Mus musculus: one gene and its partners. The protein of the gene in region 1 purifies or fractionates together with the protein of each later gene. This does not show direct contact. Links are inferred from orthologs where the notes say so. Each region holds a gene or a part of one and is shown on either strand. Other genes may lie near its edges.

The links.
Region 2: the proteins of Dicer1 (region 1) and Prkra purify together in Homo sapiens (co-immunoprecipitation; 4 studies listed by BioGRID and IntAct, with this or other methods). This does not show direct contact. The link is inferred for Mus musculus from reciprocal best matches to the Homo sapiens genes DICER1 and PRKRA.
Region 3: the proteins of Dicer1 (region 1) and Ago3 purify together in Homo sapiens (affinity purification with mass spectrometry; 3 studies listed by BioGRID and IntAct, with this or other methods). This does not show direct contact. The link is inferred for Mus musculus from reciprocal best matches to the Homo sapiens genes DICER1 and AGO3.

What each region holds. Positions count from the first base shown.
Region 1 is NC_000078.6:104,699,851-104,703,500, forward strand, and holds part of Dicer1 (endoribonuclease Dicer), read right to left. Parts: intron 3,333-3,650; coding exon 2,552-3,332; intron 671-2,551; coding exon 515-670; intron 1-514. UniProt on the Homo sapiens protein: Double-stranded RNA (dsRNA) endoribonuclease playing a central role in short dsRNA-mediated post-transcriptional gene silencing.
Region 2 is NC_000068.7:76,630,882-76,634,531, reverse strand, and holds part of Prkra (interferon-inducible double-stranded RNA-dependent protein kinase activator A), read left to right. Parts: intron 1-824; coding exon 825-999; intron 1,000-3,075; coding exon of another isoform or gene 3,076-3,125; exon of another isoform or gene 3,126-3,650. UniProt on the Homo sapiens protein: Activates EIF2AK2/PKR in the absence of double-stranded RNA (dsRNA), leading to phosphorylation of EIF2S1/EFI2-alpha and inhibition of translation and induction of apoptosis.
Region 3 is NC_000070.6:126,426,741-126,430,490, reverse strand, and holds the start of Ago3 (protein argonaute-3), read left to right. Parts: upstream 1-948; 5' UTR 949-1,204; coding exon 1,205-1,223; intron 1,224-3,750.

The DNA of each region.
Region 1 (3,650 bases):
GGCTTGAGGACAAGACAAAGGAAGCTGTAGCTACTAAAGAGAATTCTCCAGTCTGTGGCCCGGTTTAAAGTCTTTATAGTAGTACACTGCAACCTTCCCATACAGCGGCGGCGAGCTGTCGTCAGGTTGGCAAGAGGAAATAGTTCCAAGCTAGCACTGCCCAAGCTAGTCTGTGCTGAACTGAATTCTTCCAGACACAGCCTGGAGATCACAGGTCACTGCAGAGTCACTCCAGCAAATGGCTAAGGCTACACTGTAACATGAGAGGGAAGGAATCTGAGAGGGCTCTGATTTTATTTCTAAGTGGAAACATAACAGAAGTTTATGCCTCTGGAATGGGGAGGGGAGGTAAGAGAAATCACACTGCACCAAAACCAACACTATTTCTGAAGTCACAGACGGCCTGCCAACACATGAAATATCTACTACATGGCAAACGTACAGCAGAAAGAAAACAACAAAAAACAACATTCTTCAGTCAACACAAACAAAAAGCTCCATGCTGAGAGCTTACCATTTCATCCTTTTCCCACTTCTCTGAGTTACTTTTGTCTTGGTTTACCACATAACCAGGAGGAAGCCAATTCACAGGAGGATCGAATATCGACACCACCATGCGGCTGGGCAGTCCCTTCTTCTTGCCAAGGCGATACAGGTTACAGTTGCTGACCTTCGGCAGAAAAGAGTCACAAACACTTACCCATACATGGCCATGGCTGGGAGATACAGTGTGCCAATACATTTTTGCCAGTGTTTTTGTATTGCACGATGGTCAGCAGTTATAAGGACTACACAGTTAAAATAACAACTCTAGATTTCCAAGTACTAGACAGCCTTCCACGTCAAATATTTGATCCAAAATGGAATCCACAAAAACCTAATGTATATAAACTCCTCTCCTCATAAATAAGTCAAAGAAAGAGTTCAATTTCAAAGTTTTAAATCACAGACTGACAATATGAAATTCAAGATGACAAGTGAGGCTGGGAGCAGTTGTCAAGACCATGGAACTCAAGATGTCATGATATTCTCAGTGAGAAAAGGGATGAATATGTTGTAAGGTGAGAACCATCACCATACAAAACAATTGTTATCTCTTGAGTCTAAGCATCAATAATGTGACACCAACCCTCTCACTCTCAAATATTGCTCTTTGTGTGGTGGATAGCATTCAGCACTGGAGTAAAAGGTGCTAAAGAACAGCTGCTGCGCAGGACACCACCTAGGTGGCTTTACTATCCTCCTTCCAGTCCTTTTGCCTTTCCTAATGGCTCTACCATGACCCTAATTTACTTAAAACCTGACATTTCTGTCTAGTTCTCACTTGGAGACTAGCAGCTATCACCATTAATCTCATTCCCTGTTTCTAAAACCTTACTGGAATACTTCAGGAGCCCTTTCCATGTAACTCAGATGCTACTTAGCCAGCATCTGGTACCCACAATCAGCACTGGCCACAGTCTGGTAGAAAGCGTGCAAAGAGACAGAGAAACGGTCCTTGCAATGTAGCAGGCTGTGTTTGAAACTACCACGAGTCAACACACCTCTCAGCTGTCTACCATGGAACCAATATACATAAATGTTGGTTTCCTTTTCCATGACATGTGAGAGCATCCCAAGAGGAAGACAGCAATAGGAGGAAAATATTCTAAGTCAAGAGAAAAGCTCAGTGGAACAGAAAGGCTACAACTAAGGACTTGTTGTGAGGCACAATTCCAGCAGCAGTTGGCAATGAGGACAATCCCAGGGAGGGCTAGCTTGAGCAAAGACACAGGGAAGGTTAGCTTGAAGCAAAGACACAGGCTGTCCAGAGAGCATGGAGCTTGTGTTAAGACTGGCAAGCTGGAGTTCAGGCAGGGTCTGTCTGGAAGAAGATGCTGAACCCACCTGATACCAGGCAGAGGAAACAATAAATATTTCTGCAGGAAATGAAGTGAAAAGGGTCTGAACAGACGAATGGATGAAATTTTGAGATGTTAAAGTAGTATCTTTCCTGCTTAATAGGGTCTGGTATTCTTATTTCACATGTCTCCACTGACTGATCTTCGTCTAGTAAGCAGCCCTGACAGCCTCCTCAATGTCTTCCTCCTAACCTTGCTGCCGCCACTACCCACCATGTCCACGATGTCACAGTTGTCGTGGCCTGTCTTAAGAACACTGGGAAGGCAGCCAGCAGGTGAGGCCTCTAGTCTCAGACATACTCCCCTAAATACCTGGGACTAGTGAACGACCTGGGACTAGTGAACAACCCGGTACAAGCTAATCCCACTGTCTGGGCATCAGTTTTTTCATCTGCAAAATGGTTCCTCATTTGCACAAAGGTTTATTTTAAACTGCACTTTTCCCAGTAAGAGAAGGTCAGCCCGAAGCCTGGCTGTACCACTGGTGCCCTCACGTCACTACTGGGCAATGCCTCCATGGGCTTCACTGGCCCTAATGAACTCGAATGAGTAGCAGCTGCACCGACTCACGGAGAATTCCCCATGGGTAACTTGGCCTGTTTTCAGGCACACTGAAGAAGCAACAGCCCAGAACGAGAATCGTGCCTTACCTTTTTGCTTCTCATATATGAAAGGCGGCCTTCATGAGCATCAGGGTACGTGCAAAACAGATATGTGGTGATAGCATGCTTTAAAAAGGAGTCGCCAAGCATCTCAAGCCGCTCCAGGTTAAACCCATCACTGGCATTTGACAGTGTCAAAGCCTGGAGAATCAGTCCCGGATTGGGGCCAAGAGTCCTTGAGGAGTACCCAACAGAAGGGCTCTGCTCAGAGTCCATCCTGTCCTTGAGTGCTTTAACAGCATTCATCATGGCAGGCATCGTGGACACCGCGGGGCTTCCATCTGAGGTAGATGTGTTAGCGTTCCCATCAAGGTACGTATTACTCAGTAGAGGACATTCATTGCTGGGCTTGGGCTGGTTCTCATAATTGTACAAATTCTGAATGGGATATGAGGTAGTTGGTTGTACAGGTATTTCCTGCTTGAAGTAATTCAGCTGATTTCCTTGGCAAAAGTCTCTGTTAACTAAATCATAACTGCCATTGGCAAGGTTTTTATTGTAAGAAAGACCATTAATTGCTGTAAGATCCGTTGAAACCTCACTTTGGAGCTTAGCAGGTGACTCAGCGGGCAACCTTTTGCAGTTCACAGACATTTGGTCATGGTTTTCTAAGGAGGGTCTAGTAGCACCTTGATGTGCAGCATGTTCAGGGACTACAGTTGTGCTGTGCTTACAGTAATTATCACTCTCAGCCAACGAGGAGTTACAGCTTGAGATGAAAGACTTGCTATCAATAGATTTTTTCCACCCGAAGTCTAAGTTAGGGTATCTGCAAAGACATTTTTATAACTTTCTTTCAACCCTCCAAAGGGTAAGCTCAGAAAAGCAACACTTTGAGTTAAAAGCAAACAAAGCAAGCAACTCTAAAAGTCATCCTAAGAAGAAAACGCACTTCCAAGCTTACCTGGCCCTGCCTGGGACTCTGCACACAGTCGGTTCTAATGCAGAACAGCTTACTGCTTTGACTTCTGTTTATGGTGGCAAAGCAGAGCTGACTGAGAGGACCCAACGTGGAGGTCCTGCAGTGGCTACTGGCTTAGTGGGCTCACCTCCTGAACCAAGTGAGCAGCTTCTTGCAACTTACAAA
Region 2 (3,650 bases), on another chromosome or scaffold:
CTAAGTAAATCCCAGATCAAGGATTGAGCATGAATAGAACTGTCTTGGCAAACACAAACGGTCTTTTGAAAAGAATCTTAGGGATAGAAAGTCTTTTTTAACTGTAACTTAACATCTAAAATCTGAAGCAAATGAATTTGACTAGAACTTACGATACAGCCAAAAAAGTATGAATAAAATCAACATAACTAAAACAAGCAAAGAATTCAGCTTTCATACGTGTAAAGCCTGTATACATCAATTTTTTGAAAAGTCTAGTAGGAAAAATATGAAGGAATGGAAAAATATTCAGTGTATTCATGCCAACTAAGATATTCTGTCTGTTTTAAGTTGGTGGAAGCTACACTGTTTGGTAACTAGCTGCTGTTGGTGAGAGTGTGATAAGCAAGCACTTTGGTCGGTGGGTATGTAAATTAGTTCAGAAATCAACCTGCAAGCATTTGCTGCACTGAGGTATGTAGGAGGGGGCAAGGTGCATATGTATGGAGGTCAAAGGGTGTCACTTCTCTCCTCTTTCCATATGGGTCCCAGGGATCAGACTCAGGAATTAGATTTGGCATCAAAGAGCCCTAACCTGCTGAGCCATCTCTCTGGCTCAAGTTGTAACATTTATTAAAATAAAAGCATTTCTGTTGGCAGTGTCTCTCCTAGACATACATAATACTGGAAATAAAAAACAAAGCTGGGTCCTCCGGAAAAGCAGCCAGTGTTTTTCACCCCGACCCATCTCTCCATCCCCCGAGCATCTGTGTTCACTTACCCTGGTACTGATGTTGGAACTGGCCCATTTCGGAGCTGACGTTTCCCTCCTCTCTGCCTTTTAGACGAACGTGGTTGGACATTCCCTAGGATGCACTTGGCACTCCTTGAGGAATTCCCCTGGTGAGAAGATCAACCTCCTGAAAAGGAGCCTCCTCAGTCTCCCGAACACAGACTACATCCAGCTGCTTAGTGAGATTGCCAGCGAGCAAGGCTTTAACATAACGTATTTGGATATAGGTATGCTTTCTCGTGTGCCCTGACATGTTTCTTCTCAGGACCTCATGCATCTCATGCTGACCTTGCCTTTACCTCCCAAGGGCTGGGTGGGATTATGGGAGCAAAACACCACCATGTTCCACCTCTGTGGATGTTCATTTAATTCAGTTTATACACCTGTTTAGTGTGTGTGTGTGTGTGTGTGTGTGTGTGTGTGTGCGTGCACATGTGCATGTACATGCATGTTTAGTGTCATGATTTTAGCATCAGAACAATGTGATATCCCTATTCAAACCTTAGTGAGATGTGAAGAGCTAGCCTGGCAGAGCTGCAGGCTCTGAGAAAGTAGAGCTTCGGGGCTAGAAGACCCTGCAACAGTCTTGGCAACTTTAAGATTGATCTATGAATCTAATGCAGAGTCTGTATAAACAGCAGGTGATGCAGAATCCGAGAGCAAATGTACACAGGTGGTCAGGAAATAGCTGATGAGAGACTGTCTTAGTCAGGGTTTCTATTCCTGCACAAACATCATCACCAAGAAGCAAGTTGGGGAAGAAAGGGTTTATTCGGCTTACACTTCCATGCTGCTGTTCATCACCAAAGGAAGTCAGGACTGGAACTCAAGCAGGTCAGGGAGCAGGAGCTGAGGGCCATGGAGGGATGTTCTTTACTGGCTTGCCTCCCCTGGCTTGCTCAGCCTGCTCTCTTATAGAACCCAAGACTACCAGCCCAGAGATGGTCCCACCCACAAGGGGCCTTTCCCCCTTGATCACTAATTGAGAAAATGCCTTACAGTTGGATCTCATGGAGGCATTTCCTCAACTGAAGCTCCTTTCTCTGTGATAACTCCAGCTGTGTCAAGTTGACACAAAACTAGCCAGTACAGAGACCATCCCATAAGTGTTTATCAGTGTCTTCAGTTTGGAAAATGGGGATAACTGAGCCATCATAGACTAAGGAGAAAAACAAACAAACAAACAAACAAACAAACAAACAAACGCCAGAGTGTAGGCTAAGAAGGAAGCCTGTGAGGAGGATTTAGATATGCACTGATGTGCTGTTGACATGCTTCATACCAGCTTAAGAGCTGAAGAGTTCTGGAGCATCCAGAACTGGCTTTTGACCAGCTCCCGTGGTGCAGCTGCTGCCAGTGAAACCAGACAAATGAGCTGGGCACTTGGGAGACTGAGGCAGGAGGATCACTGTAAATTTGAGACCAACCTAGCTATAGAGTGAGTGTTACACCAGGCAGAGCTACACAAATAAAACACCTACAAAGGTGTCCAACCTCATTACTTCAAAGGGAAATGTAAGTTAAAGTGGAGGGGAAGGGCAACATCAAACTCACTAGGTTGGCTTCAGTCAGGAAAATGGAAGATAGAAAACAAGACTGTTAGATTCCAGTTTGGAACCTCATAGATTGGTGGTCAGATGTAAAATGGTTCAGTTATCAGCAACTCGTGTGACCGAGCAGTTTCACTCCTGGAAATTAAAACTAGTAGCCGTCACTCTACCATAAGAAGTGATGGTCTAATGCCTACAGCAGCATAAACAGATTTGAAGATATTGCGCCAAGTGAAAGAAGCCAGTCACAAAAGGCTACAGTATAAGTCAGTGAACTAGTCAGTAGAGGTTAATCCATGCACACAGCACAGGCTGGTGGATGCCCAGAGTGAGAGGGAAGGGACTTGGAAGGGTAATTGTCTGATGGGTGCAGCTGTCCCCTTAGGTTATGCAAATGACTTGGAAGTGGATAGAGCCGTGGATGTAGAAAATGACATGGACTTGTTCAGTTTCGAAACCAGTTGGCTTCACGTCAATTTTTCTTTTATTGAGGGACAAAGGCCTTAGATCCAGTTACTCATTCAGTAATCCTATTGTTATTAAGATATGTCCTTGAAATTGAGTGACTAAATATTATCATTTAACCATAGTCACTTTAAAAGTTATTATCGAGTGTGTGTGTATGTGTGGGTGTGCGAGCATTCGTTCGTGTGTGTGTGTGTGTGTGTGTGTGTGTGTGTGTGTGTGTGACAGCATGTGTGGGATCAGAAGGCAACTTTGTGGAGTCAGTTCTCTCCCCCCATCTTTCTGTAGGCTTCAGGGACCAAGGCCAGGTCTCCAGGCTTGTGCAGCAAGTGCCTTAGCCCCCTGAGCCAGCTCAGCAGCCCCCATCGCCAATCTAAGTCACATTCCTTCACCACCTGTGGTGAGTGACTCATCGGTAGATGAGAGCATTTGTTTCCTGGGCTTCTGTGTCATTACAGGACACCATAACCCAGAGTTCTACATGTGTGGTCTTCCCATGCATCAGGTCTATTCTGCTTAAACGCCTACTGAAAGTGACTTCCTAATGGAAAACACAGCCTTGCCTGTCTTTCAATAAGTGGTTCTTCCCCATTATGACATGTTCAGTAATGTGCAAACTCTCTCCAAGTGGTCACATTTAGAGTTCCCTTGGAGAGGTCGTAAAAATGCAACAGCCAGCTATGGCTGACCCCAGCCCTGATTTCTGATCATGTGGGCTAACATGAAGTCTGGGGTCAGCATTTCTTTCAGATTTCTTTAGGTAAGAACTGTTGCAACTGAGCATGTGGGGAGGATGGTGGTGGTTGTCTTATTTTTGATTGATTTTTTTTTATTTGACTAATTGATGGTTGTTTGATTTCTTT
Region 3 (3,750 bases), on another chromosome or scaffold:
TTGTTACTAACATTTGGGAGGTTTTTGTTTTTTGTTTTCCTTTCAGTTTTTCTGATGAGGAAACTAAAGTCCAAAGATAAAGTGACTAATCCAAAAACCCAAAACGGGGAGGGAAGGGATCGTGAAAATAAAATCTTTCTCAATTCTCTTTTTTAAAAAAGAAATATATGTCAAAACATTACTGGTTCATTGGGACACGGGGAAAAATACTGAATCATTGCTAAGCTTGCATGAAGTATCTGGTTTCACGAAGCCAAGTATTTTTAAAAGACGGACTATTTGCCGGATAATGAGCTGGGTCTAGTCTCCCAAAGGTTCCAAGTCAGCAGAAAAGCACCAGACTGGATCGGATCGGGGAAACTGGAGGCTGACCAATTTAGCTGTAAAAGTCTCGAGTCCCAAGGAAGAGAAGGTTTAGCAGGTGTTTAAACACCGGAAGGTCGTTTAGGTTCCTCAACGTATTGGGAGACTGTTTAAACATAAACGTAATTCCATCTGGTATACATGGAACATCCCGTTTCTTGTTCATCCGTTTAAAAACTATATTGAACTTGTGGTCACCGCCTAGTGCACGTGCTCCAAGCGGGTGTGGCAGACGGAGCTGGGAGGGAGGATGCCCTTGGCTGGTCACCCGCCACTCTCAGGTAGGATGTACCTCAGGTAAGCTCCGCGGGCAGGCAGCGATGTCGCCTCAAGCAGCGGTCCTCACCCGGGAGGCTGGCACGGGGAAAGCTGGCCTCTCGCTCGGGATTGTCGCCGTCAGGCACAGCGGGTGCAGGGCGACCGCCCATCCGCGGCTCCGCCCCAGCCAGGCACCGGCTCACCCGCCCACAGATCCCCAGACCTTGTTGCTCCCGCAAGGCTCTGGCTCCAGGCGAGCTGCCGACCCGGAGGGAGAGCGGGGCGGGATCCGGAGAGCGGAAGTGACGCGAGCGGGCTTCCGGGGGCGACCGGGAAAAGCGAGCGGCTGCGGCGGCGGGGCGGCTGGCGGGTCGGGAAGCTGCACGCGTCAGCATCTGTGGGCGACGCAAGTTCCGGACCTGGTTCCAGCGTCCTCACTCAGGACTGTCGCCGCTCTTACCTCGCTGCAGGCTGTCTGTCTCTCCCGACTGTGCCTCTTGTGCCCGGAGCTTTCCGAGGGCGTCCGCTCCTCGCCTCTGTGGTGGCACCCTTCTCTCGTGAAGCACTCCCCCCAGCTCCATGAATGGAAATCGGCTCCGCAGGTGAGGCGAGCTGCGGGACAGGGCAGGTGGGGTCGTTACCCCGATGTTGTCCCCTGAGCATCCTTGTTCCTTCCACTTCAGGTGCTGTCAGCGCACATAGTGAGGGAGTTGCGGGCTTTCAGGCCCGATGCGGGTGTCCTCTCCACAGCCCAGGGACCTACACTCTTGGGGTCATTGAGTTGGCGAAACTACAAGGAGGGCTTAAGTTTGGAGTTCTGTAGGTGATGACATCCCCCTAGAGTGCTTTCCCCTGAGAATGGAGAGAAGTTTGCCCTTGCTTTTGGAATTCTTGTTGGAAATATAAAGGGCGCGCTTGTCCTTTAACCGGGTCGTGTGTCCCATGGATGCAGAACAAGTCAGGCATAACCCTTATCTACCTATTAGTGTAGTTTGAGGATACTCTGAGATAATCAATGATTACGTTTCTAATTGGTGCTCGGGCGACGTCAGATGCAAGATGGCATTGCTCCCACCCCTGGTTCTCAGTGTCTGAGTGTGTAGTTTCTGAGGAGCTCGGAGATGTCCTGTCGCTCTGGACCACTGCTTACTAGAAGGCAGAGCTTCAGGATGCTGACACTATTTCCCCTCTATTTTCTATTCCCTGCACAGGAAATCTGGAATTTAGGATTTGTCTCTTGAGGAAAAAAAAAAAAAAAAAAAAAAGAGGTCTTGAGAAAGGAAGCCGGCCTGGATAGTGCTTGTCTTTAAAAAGGAAAAAGTAGTCAGCGATTCTAAAGTAGTTGATAGAGTAACATGAAATAGGTGTTACATAACGGCCTGCTGGCCCAGCAGTCACCCTGTTCTCCAGTTTGAAAGTTCTCTCCATCCACAAGATCAGTAATATATTGTTTTCATATATTTGGGGGATTGCCTTGTTATTATGTCCTAGCAAGTCACTGAATTTCATATCTCATCTTGCCAATTTGAAAGGTCCCCAAATATAAGAGAAAAAAAAAAACCCAAAACTAAAACTAGCAACATAGAAGGCCTTCAAATCAGTTCAGGGCATAATTGTCGAAGGGATACAAAAAGGCATTTCCTTTATTATGTGGAATTTCTTTCTACTCAGTGTCTACCATTTTTTCCCTTTCTATGTTCCATTTTTTTTCTCATATTTTCTTAACAGTGAAATATGTCTAGGCTGTGAAGTTTTGGACTCTTATTATCAATATGTGTGTTTCCAGACTGTATTTTCTATGCTTTAAAAGTTTACATTCTGTCTGTACTGCTTTTACTTTATAAGATAATCTGATTATTTCCAGCTCTCTGATTTTTACATAGCTACCCTGTTGCCAAGCCTGGAAAACTAAATATGACATTTAAGGTTGTGTTAATCATCTACCTAAAACTTTTGAAGAGCTTTCCCCCAAATTGAGTATTTTCCCTATTTGGGCTTTTTATGTGAAAATATTGACATGTGTTGATTATTTGTGATATAGGGCCAACTACTCAGTTGATACAATTAGCTAAGCCTGACTCAGTAAAATGTACCTTTTCTTTTTGGGTGTTGTTTTGATAAAATATAGAGCAGTTGATGTCTTCCCATCAGGGAAGGTATAGTTAAGATTTATTAACTAGTTTGGCAATGGTGGCTCACACCTCGGTCCCAACATTCAGGAGGCAGAGATGGTTCAATCTTTGTGAGTTGGAGGCCCGCCTGATTTACATAAAGAGTTCTAGGCCAGCTGGGGCTACTTAGTGAGACCTTGTCTAAACAAACAACAAAACAACCAAATTGTTGTTCATTGAATAAAAACAAACAAAACAGTTCTACCAGCCATGCTTGGCCATCTTGAAACATAGAATTTGTTCTTCAGTGAAGTTTATGTGTGACTGGCTGTTGTTTACTATCAGGCTCAAGGTTGTTACCATCAAAATGATTCTTTTGGTTGGGTGCAGCGACCCATGGCTTTAACCTCAACACCTGGGTTTCTGTGATTTAGAGGCCAGTCTAGTCTACATAGTGAGTTCTAGGCCAGCCAAAGCTACATAGTGAGACCCTTCGGAAGGAAGGAAGGAAAGAAAGAAGGAAGGAAGGAGAAACAGAGAGAAAAAGGGAGAGAGAGTTTTTTGTGTTGTTCTTGCGATTTTTATGTAATTGTTACAGTGAATGTGAAATTGAAACATACTTAGGAAAATAGACAACTAGGTTTTAAATTCAGATTTGACATTTTTTAGCTATGTGGGCTGGAGAGATGGCTCAGCAAGTAAGAGCACTTGCTGTTTCAGCAGAGGACCCGGGTTTGGTTCCTAGCACCATGTGGTAGCTCAAAACTATAACTTCAGTCCCAGGGGATCTGATGCCCTCTCCTGACCTCCAAGGGCATCAGGCATGCATATGGTGCACATACATATGTGCTGGTAAAACATTCATACACATAAAGCAATATAATAAATTTTAAATTTGAAAAAAATAGATATAGGTGCTTTCTAACAGTCTATTAGGTTAGTACTGAAATTTTGGTTCTCAAATTCTGTTTTCCTTTTAGTGCAATAGAGGATATAAAATATAATTATTATGTAATTA